Linked DNA regions of Callithrix jacchus. The protein of the gene in region 2 binds, or shares a complex with, the protein of the main gene of each other region. Links are inferred from orthologs where the notes say so. Each region holds a gene or a part of one and is shown on either strand. Other genes may lie near its edges.

Evidence for each region. Proteins that work in one complex are often made in the same cells at the same time.
Region 1: the proteins of FMN2 (region 2) and SPIRE1 are in contact, whole or in part, in a crystal structure (PDB 2YLE), measured with the Homo sapiens proteins. The link is inferred for Callithrix jacchus from reciprocal best matches to the Homo sapiens genes FMN2 and SPIRE1. Residues at the interface, in NP_064450.3 of Homo sapiens: Ser1702, Leu1703, Lys1705, Ile1706, Lys1707, Pro1708, Arg1709, His1710, Gly1713, Ile1714, Lys1715, Lys1717, Ile1718, Lys1721, Thr1722; in NP_001122098.1 of Homo sapiens: Gln51, Pro52, Ile53, Asn54, Glu127, Ile131, Tyr134, Lys135, Asp138, Leu141, Lys142, Glu143, Asn144, Glu145, Glu146, Arg147, Glu148, Glu154, Ile157, Asp158, Ala161, Asn162, Thr163, Val164, Glu165.

The regions. Positions count from the first base shown.
Region 1 is NC_133514.1:49,846,873-49,850,618, forward strand, and holds the start of SPIRE1 (protein spire homolog 1), read left to right. Parts: upstream 1-1,250; 5' UTR 1,251-1,496; coding exon 1,497-1,833; intron 1,834-3,746.
Region 2 is NC_133520.1:45,759,946-45,763,691, reverse strand, and holds the start of FMN2 (formin-2), read left to right. Parts: upstream 1-1,444; 5' UTR 1,445-1,677; coding exon 1,678-3,271; intron 3,272-3,746. UniProt on the Homo sapiens protein: Actin-binding protein that is involved in actin cytoskeleton assembly and reorganization. Acts as an actin nucleation factor and promotes assembly of actin filaments together with SPIRE1 and SPIRE2.

The DNA.
Region 1 (3,746 bases), on a different chromosome or scaffold from region 2:
TTGCCTACTTGGTTGATACCTTCAACACTCTGTAGGGCTTTCACACAGAATCAGCCTCAGTGGAATTTTATCGATTAAATTCATTAACCAATGAGTGGTTAAGAACTGTTTTATTGCATACTTAATGGGCTGAGGGGCTGAATTATTTATTTTTACTTTATTATTATTTTTTGAGACGGAGTCTCGCTCTGTCACCCAGGCTGGAGTGCACAATCTCGGCTCACCACAACCTCTACCTGGGTTCAAGCGATTCTCCTGCCTCAGCCTCTCAAGTAGCTAGAATTACAGGCGCCTGCCACTATGCCTGGCTAATTTTTTTGTATTTTTAGTAGAGACCGGGTTAGCCAGGATGGTCTTGATCTCCTGATCCGCCCGCCTCAGCCTCCCAAAGTGCTGGGATTGGCTAATTGCCCTCAGTTCAATTTTACCACTGTGATATTCATTCCACATGTTGTGATAAGTGTGGTACCGGAGCACCTGCAAATTATGTACTAGATGCTTATATTCCAGGCCTTGATTTAGCTTTTGGGAGAAGTCAGTGAACAAAACTCGTAAAGATCCCAGTCTTCACGGGGCTTACCCTGAAGTTGGGAGTGGAGAGGGAGGTATTCAACCAACAAGAAATCGGAAAACGCACAGAGCAGGCACGGGGTCAGGGTAAACTGCGGGAGGCTTTCAGGGCTTAGGGCTCAGCAGGGAAGCTTCACTGGGCCAGCGTTTTCTTAGTCATCTGCTCCAGGGGTGTTCAAGCTCTCAACCAGATCTTCGTTCATCCAGCGCCTAGGGAACTTCAATGCGGTGACTTCTCCCGCTGTGCAGGGCAATGACCCGGATTGGCGCGCTCAAGATCCCGCCAGAGTCTGCCGGAGGCATCCCTGATAAATGCGACCCCCCTACTGCCCCTTCGCCCCCGACCGCGCTCCCAATCGCCCTCCCGCCCCTGGCCCCGCGTGTCCACCACGCCCTACCACCCTGCACGCCCTTCCTGGCCGCGCGGCCCCTATGGACAGAGCGTCGCCGCCCTCACCCCCGCGCCCCCAGCTGTGCGTCCCTTGCGACCGCCCTCACCGACCGCGCATCACCACCTGCGACTCTGCGAGCCCTACGGGTTGCGGTCTGCTCCAGATCTTGCAGCCTTCCCGCCTCGAGGCCCTCTCGCCAGTGCGTCTCCTGCAGAGCGCGCAACCCCCGGCCCGTGCGGCCCCCTGAGGGGCGGGCGCTGGGCGGCGCGAGGCGGGGCGGGGCGGGACGCCGGACGCCATCGCGTCGCTACCAGCCGGCTGCGGTCTGCCCGGGTCTGTAGCCGTGTCCTCGCCGCCCGGTGCTCGCCCACGCCTCCCGGGCCCTCGCCTTGTCCCAGCGGCGGCGCGCGCGCGGCCGCGTTGGGTGGCGGCGGTTCGGGGGATGAGGAGGCGGTGGCGCGCGGAGACGATGCTCCGGAGCTGAGAAGACGCCGGCACACGGCGCTACTGCCGAGCGCAGCGCCCAGCCGCGCGATGGCTCAGGCCGCCGGCCGGGCTAGCGGCGGAGAGCCGCGGGCTGAGGCGGTGGGCGGCGAGGGGCCGTGGGAGCCCGGGGCAGCCGGCGGCGATGCCGGGGGCTCGCAGGACGCACTGAGCCTGGAGGAGATCCTGCGACTCTATAACCAGCCCATCAACGAGGAGCAGGCGTGGGCCGTGTGCTACCAGTGCTGCGGCTCCCTGCGCGCCGCCGCCCGCCGCCGCCAGCCCGGCCGTCGCGTGCGCTCGGCTGCGCAGATCCGCGTCTGGAGAGACGGCGCCGTCACCCTGGCGCCCGCGGCCGACGACGCGGGAGAGCCGCCCCCTGTTGCGGGTGAGGCCGCCGGGCCCCTTTCCCTCGCAGTCTCTAGGAACACCCCCGGTCAGGCCGCTTTACCCTCACAGTCCCTGTCCCTTCCGCCCCTGCCACCCCCAGTTTGCCATGGGAGACCCCCGGCAGGCTCCGGCCGGGCCCCTGGGGGAGGGCGGCGTCAGGCAGTAGCCAGGCTGGGGCTCTTCCTAGATCAAAGCTTCGAGGCGGGCGGCGGCTCAAATAGGCTGTGCGGAGGGCGTCGGGGCTGGCCTGGTGGGCCTGGGCCTGGGCCTGCGGGTCGGGGGGGCCCCTAGTCATTGTGCAGCCCGCACAACAGCTGCCCCGCGGCGCGTTTGGGAGCGGTGGGCTGGGCCCTGCTTGGAGCCAGCTGCCTGTGCGCCTCACGCCGTGGCTGCTGACGCACGGCCGGGTTCGCGGGGTGGGGAGGGCACCACAGGCTTCACGCAGGGGCTCCACGAGGATCCTCATAGCCGCTGTCGGGAACACCGCAGTCCTCCCGGGAAGTTAGCAGTATTTCACATTAGACAACCTTTTCTCCGTTCAGAAATGTAAAGATGATTTTGAACCTTGAGGAGAATTTTGTATTTGGGGAGAAATGGAAAAATAGACTAAATAATTATTTTTGGCTCCTGGACATTAGAAAATACCGATTACATTCCTGTATGTGAAAATTCGTTGTGATGAAAAACAGGCTTATGAAGTAAAAAGTTGACAGGATGTCTGGATATATAGAGAAAATGGGCTTTAGTTACGTCATTGTCCAGTGTAAATTTTTCAGGATTATGAACTAAACAGTAATTTATAGCGGAGGTTTACTCAGATGCTATTGATGAAGAGGAGGCGGAGGTTGAGAAAAGGTTTCTCCCATCAATTTTTATCTAATTCATTCTTTTGAGAGGCAAGTCTATTAAAAACAGAAAAACAATCCACCCTCACTTTTAGAAAGTTGATGGAAGTGTCAAAATGCTTGAGATGAAAGATGTAGTATCGAATTAGTAAAATGACATTTAATGAAAACCCTCGTCTAACTTGATTTGAACAATATTCAAGATTATAGTTACTCTTTCAGTTCCGCCGGAATGTTTTTATCTTTTTTAGTGTCAGGTAAACAATTTGTTTATTTAAAGACATCTTTCGTGATTCTTTTGAAACTATTTCAAATAGTTTTTTTGTTGGGCTTATTGCTTTTAAACTTGGACTTAATCTAAGTGGGAAATACTTGCAATTATAATTTATAGTGTATTAATTGGTATAAAAACATACTTTTTTTTTTTTTTGAGATGGAGGTTTGCTCTTGTTACCCAGGCTGGAGTGCAATGGCGCGATTATGGCTCACTGCAACCTCCGCCTCCTGGGTTCAAGCAATTCTCCTGCCTCAGCCTCCCGAGTAGCTGGGACTAAAGGCGCACGCCACCATGCACAGCTAATTTTTGTATTTTTAGTAGAGATGGAGTTTCACCATGTTGACCAGGATGGTCTCTATCTCTTGACCTCGTGATCCACCCGCCTCGGCCTCCCAAAGTGCTGGGATTATAGGCGTGAGCCACTGCGCCGGGCCTTAAAAACATACATTTATAAAATACAGCATTGTTGGCCAGGCGCAGTGGCTCATGTCCCAGCACTTTGGGGAGCTAAGGTGGCTGGCTAACCTAAGGTCAGGAGTTTGAGAACAGCTTGGCCAACGTGGTGAAATCCCCGTCTCTACTAAAAATACAAAAATTAGCTGGGCATGGTGGTGTGCCCCTGTATTCCCAGCTACTCGGGAAGCTGAGGTGGGAGAATTGCTTGACCTTGGGAGGCAGAGGCTGCAGTGAGCTGAGATCATGCTACTGCACTCCAGCATGGGCAACAGAGCAAGACCCCGTCTCAAAAAACAAGAAAAAACAGCAATGTCATGCCTTGGGATTTAGCTA
Region 2 (3,746 bases):
ACCGTGGCAAAGTTATTAAAGTTGATTTCTCTAAACCATTTACTCGAAAGGGCCACCTAAGGATAACTGGCTGTCTGCCCTTAAACTACATTTATTTTTAAAAACATAGTTTGAAAAATGATAGTCATCAAAGACTTACAAGACTAACCTTTTTTTTTTTTTTTAATGTAAAAGGCTGGTTCATAATATGCAAAGAAAGACTGCACATTTGCTTGCTACATTTAAGTTGCACAGTGTAATATATAGCCTTTCTCCCTCCTCTGGGTTACTTTAAAAATATTAAGAAGTTGGATAGTTATTCCATATTTTCAAAGTGGTTATAAATGAACTTCTAACTTAAATAATTCTAGCACTTTTTAATGACACTTCAATCTCAGTTTACTGCTTAAAGCTTCTTTAGATAAACATTTAAAAAAATTCTTAAAAAGTAGGTAATTAAATTTAATAAATATGAAAATAATGACAAAATGTTCAATGAGGAAAAGTGTTTATCCCGATATTGTGGCCAGAATGATAAGAAACTTCTAGAGGATGAAGTCTGCCTGGGAGGGTTTGCTTGTAAAAGTGATAGTTGATAGCATAACATCTGATTTTGTGTGTGTGTGCCAAGGGTGTTCCTTTCCGTCTTTTTCCTTTTTATAGGCTGCCACAATAGTGACACGTTTAATATTGATGAGTTTGACCTCCTGGGAGTTATCGTATATGCACCCTTTTTGAATACAAATGCTGTTTAATTTATATGGTAAACACATGGAATTTGGAGATTAGCATTTTAATCAACTCTAATCTCAGCATCTAATCTCAGTATTTTCTGCTTCCCCTACGGCTCCTTCTGTAAAAAAAAAAAAAAAAAAAAATCACGAACCAACTTTAGAAATGACAGCGAATGTCCTCTCCTGGAGAAGCAGGGTCTGTGTGTCAAACATAAAAGCAGCACCATGTGTAGTAACCTTTCTTAAACCATGTGTTCAAGCACATTAACAGTGTTCAATGAGATGATCAATTATTCAAGAAACAGAAGAATCCATTCATTCAGCAAATATTTATTGAACAGTCATGCAGAGGCAGGCAGGGGGTTGTGTATGTGGCCGTGACACGATGGCACCTCTGAACTGGAATTGGGCTTCAGTTCTTCCCCATGTAAAAATTTCTTCTTTTTTGTTTAACTTTTCTCGTGGCAGGTCCAGCAGCTCTGAAGATCGGAGTGCATCTTCCAGCAGACAAGCTCTTCGGCCGCGGACAATGCATTCGATTCGCACGGTGGAGATTAAAGTCCCCGAGATAGAGGAAACGTTTTTCGCGCCCAGGTTCCGCGAGGAGCCGCGCGGGGGCCGAGGGGGCGGCGGCGGCGGGCGGGGAAGCAGGCCCGAGCTGCGTCCTGCGCAGCCATTGGCGGGCGCCGCGCTCTGCACTGAGCATGTTCGCGCCCCGCCGGCCCCGAGCCGCAGCCGCAGCCGCAGCCGCAGCGACGGCAGCCACGGGAGCAGCCGCGCGTTATGCAAAGCGGCGGCAGATGCGAGCGGGGCCAGCCGGGCGCGCGTCGGCCTCCCCTCCCAGCGGCTCGCCCCGCAGCCGCCTGACTCTCCCGGGAGACTCCCCCGGCCCGGGCCCGGGGCCGAGGAGGGCCGCGATGGCCTGACTGCCCGCGGCGCGGCGGCGCAGCAGCGGGATTGCACCATGGGGAACCAGGATGGGAAGCTGAAGAGGAGCGCAGGTGATGCCTCGCACGAAAGCGGCGGCGGCGGCACCGAGGATGCGCTGGGGCCCAGGGACGTGGAAGCCACAAAGAAGGGGAGCGGGGGCAGGAAGGCGCTGGGCAAGCACGGCAAGGGGGGAGGGGGCGGCGGCGGGGAGTCGGGCAAGAAGAAGAGCAAGTCGGACTCCAGAGCCTCGGTGTTTTCCAACCTGCGGATCCGGAAGAATCTGTCCAAGGGGAAAGGCGCCGGCGGCTCCCGCGAAGATGTGCTGGATTCCCAGGCCCTGCAGACCGGGGAGCTGGACAGCGCTCACTCCCTGCTCACCAAGACTCCGGACCTCAGCCTCTCGGCGGACGAGACCGGCCTGTCGGACACCGAGTGCGCGGACCCTTTTGAGGTGACCCGGCCGGGGGTGCCTGGGCCTGCCGAGGCGAGGGTCGGGGGCCGGCCTATCGCCGAGGATGTGGAAACTGCAGCGGGGGCGCAGGATGGACAAAGGACCAGCTCGGGCTCGGACACGGACATCTACAGCTTCCACTCGGCTACGGAGCAGGAGGACTTGCTTTCCGACATCCAGCAGGCGATCCGCCTGCAGCAGCAGCAGCAGCTCCAGCTCCAGCTCCAGCCGCAGCAGCTCCAGGGCGCCGAGGAGCCTGCAGCGCCCCCCAGCGCCGTCTCCCCTCAGCCCGGGGCCTTCCTGGGCCTGGACCGATTCCTGCTGGGGCCGAGCGGCGGGACTAGGGAGGCCCCGGGCAGTCCAGACACTGAGCAGGCGCTGTCCGCGCTCTCCGACCTGCCCGCGAGCCTGGCCGCCGAGCCCTCGGCGCCCCAGCAGCCGCCGTCCCCCGGCAGCCTCCCGGTCTCCGAGGCACCCAGCCTCCCGGCGGCCCAACCCGCGCCCAGAGACTCGCCCTCCTCCACGGCCTTCCCGTTTCCCGAGGGCGGGCCGGGGGAGGAAGCGGCCGGAGCCCCGGCGCGGGGGGCTGGGGACACGGATGAGGAGGGCGAGGAGGATGCTTTTGAGGATGCGCCCCGGGGCTCTCCGGGGGAGGAGTGGGCCCCGGAGGGGGGAGAGAACGCCCCTCAGAGGCTGGGGGAAGAACCCGAGGAGGGGGCACAAGGACCTGGCGTCCCCGTGGCCGCTTCCCTGCCCGGCAGCCCCGCGCCCAGCCAGCGCTGCTTCAAGCCCTACCCGCTCATCACCCCCTGCTACATCAAGACCACCACCCGGCAGCTCAGCTCGCCCAATCACTCCCCGTCTCAGTCCCCTAATCAGAGCCCCAGGATCAAGAGGCGGCCGGAGGCCTCCCTGAGCCAAGGGTCCAGAACTGCCCTGGCCTCCGCGGCCGCCCCGGCCAAGAAGCACCGGGCAGACGGCGGCCTCGCGGGCGGCCTGAGCCGCTCCGCGGACTGGACGGAGGAACTGGGCGCCAGTACGCCCGGGGCGGGAGGCTCCGCGCACCTGCTAGAGCGCGGGGTGGCCGCTGACCGCGGCGGTGGGGTGTCCCCGGCACTGACCGCCAAGGCGTCTGGGGCGCCCGCGGCTGCTGATGGCTTCCAGAACGTGTTCACAGGTGAGCGGGCCCTGCGGCCGGCCTCCGGGTCACGAGTCGCCTGCCAATCAGGGCCTTCCCCTGCCTCCCGCCGTCCCTGGGTGCTGGAAGGCGGTGACCTGCTAGTGGCACGTCTCTTCCCCGTGGGGAATCCTTTTCCGCCCAGTGAGCTCACCCTCCTCGGTGAAATGCCTTGGACATACTTGTCGGTTTTCTATGTTCTCACAAGATCTTAGAGGGAACAACTTAGTTGCGTCTATGCTAAGTCATCTCAAGAAAAGGTTGCTCTGCCCATTTCACCAAAATGTCTACTGTTCACAATGTTTAGTGTCACGCCAGGGAGATACGGTCCTTTTTCATCTGGTTAGCGAAACCATCATTCTTCTCTTTTTGTTTCTCATCACCACAGCATTAAAAAGAAAAAATAATTGTTCACGCTTCTTTTACAAGAGTCAGTTTTGGAGGCACAAATCACTTATTCCAGTACAATCCAAAG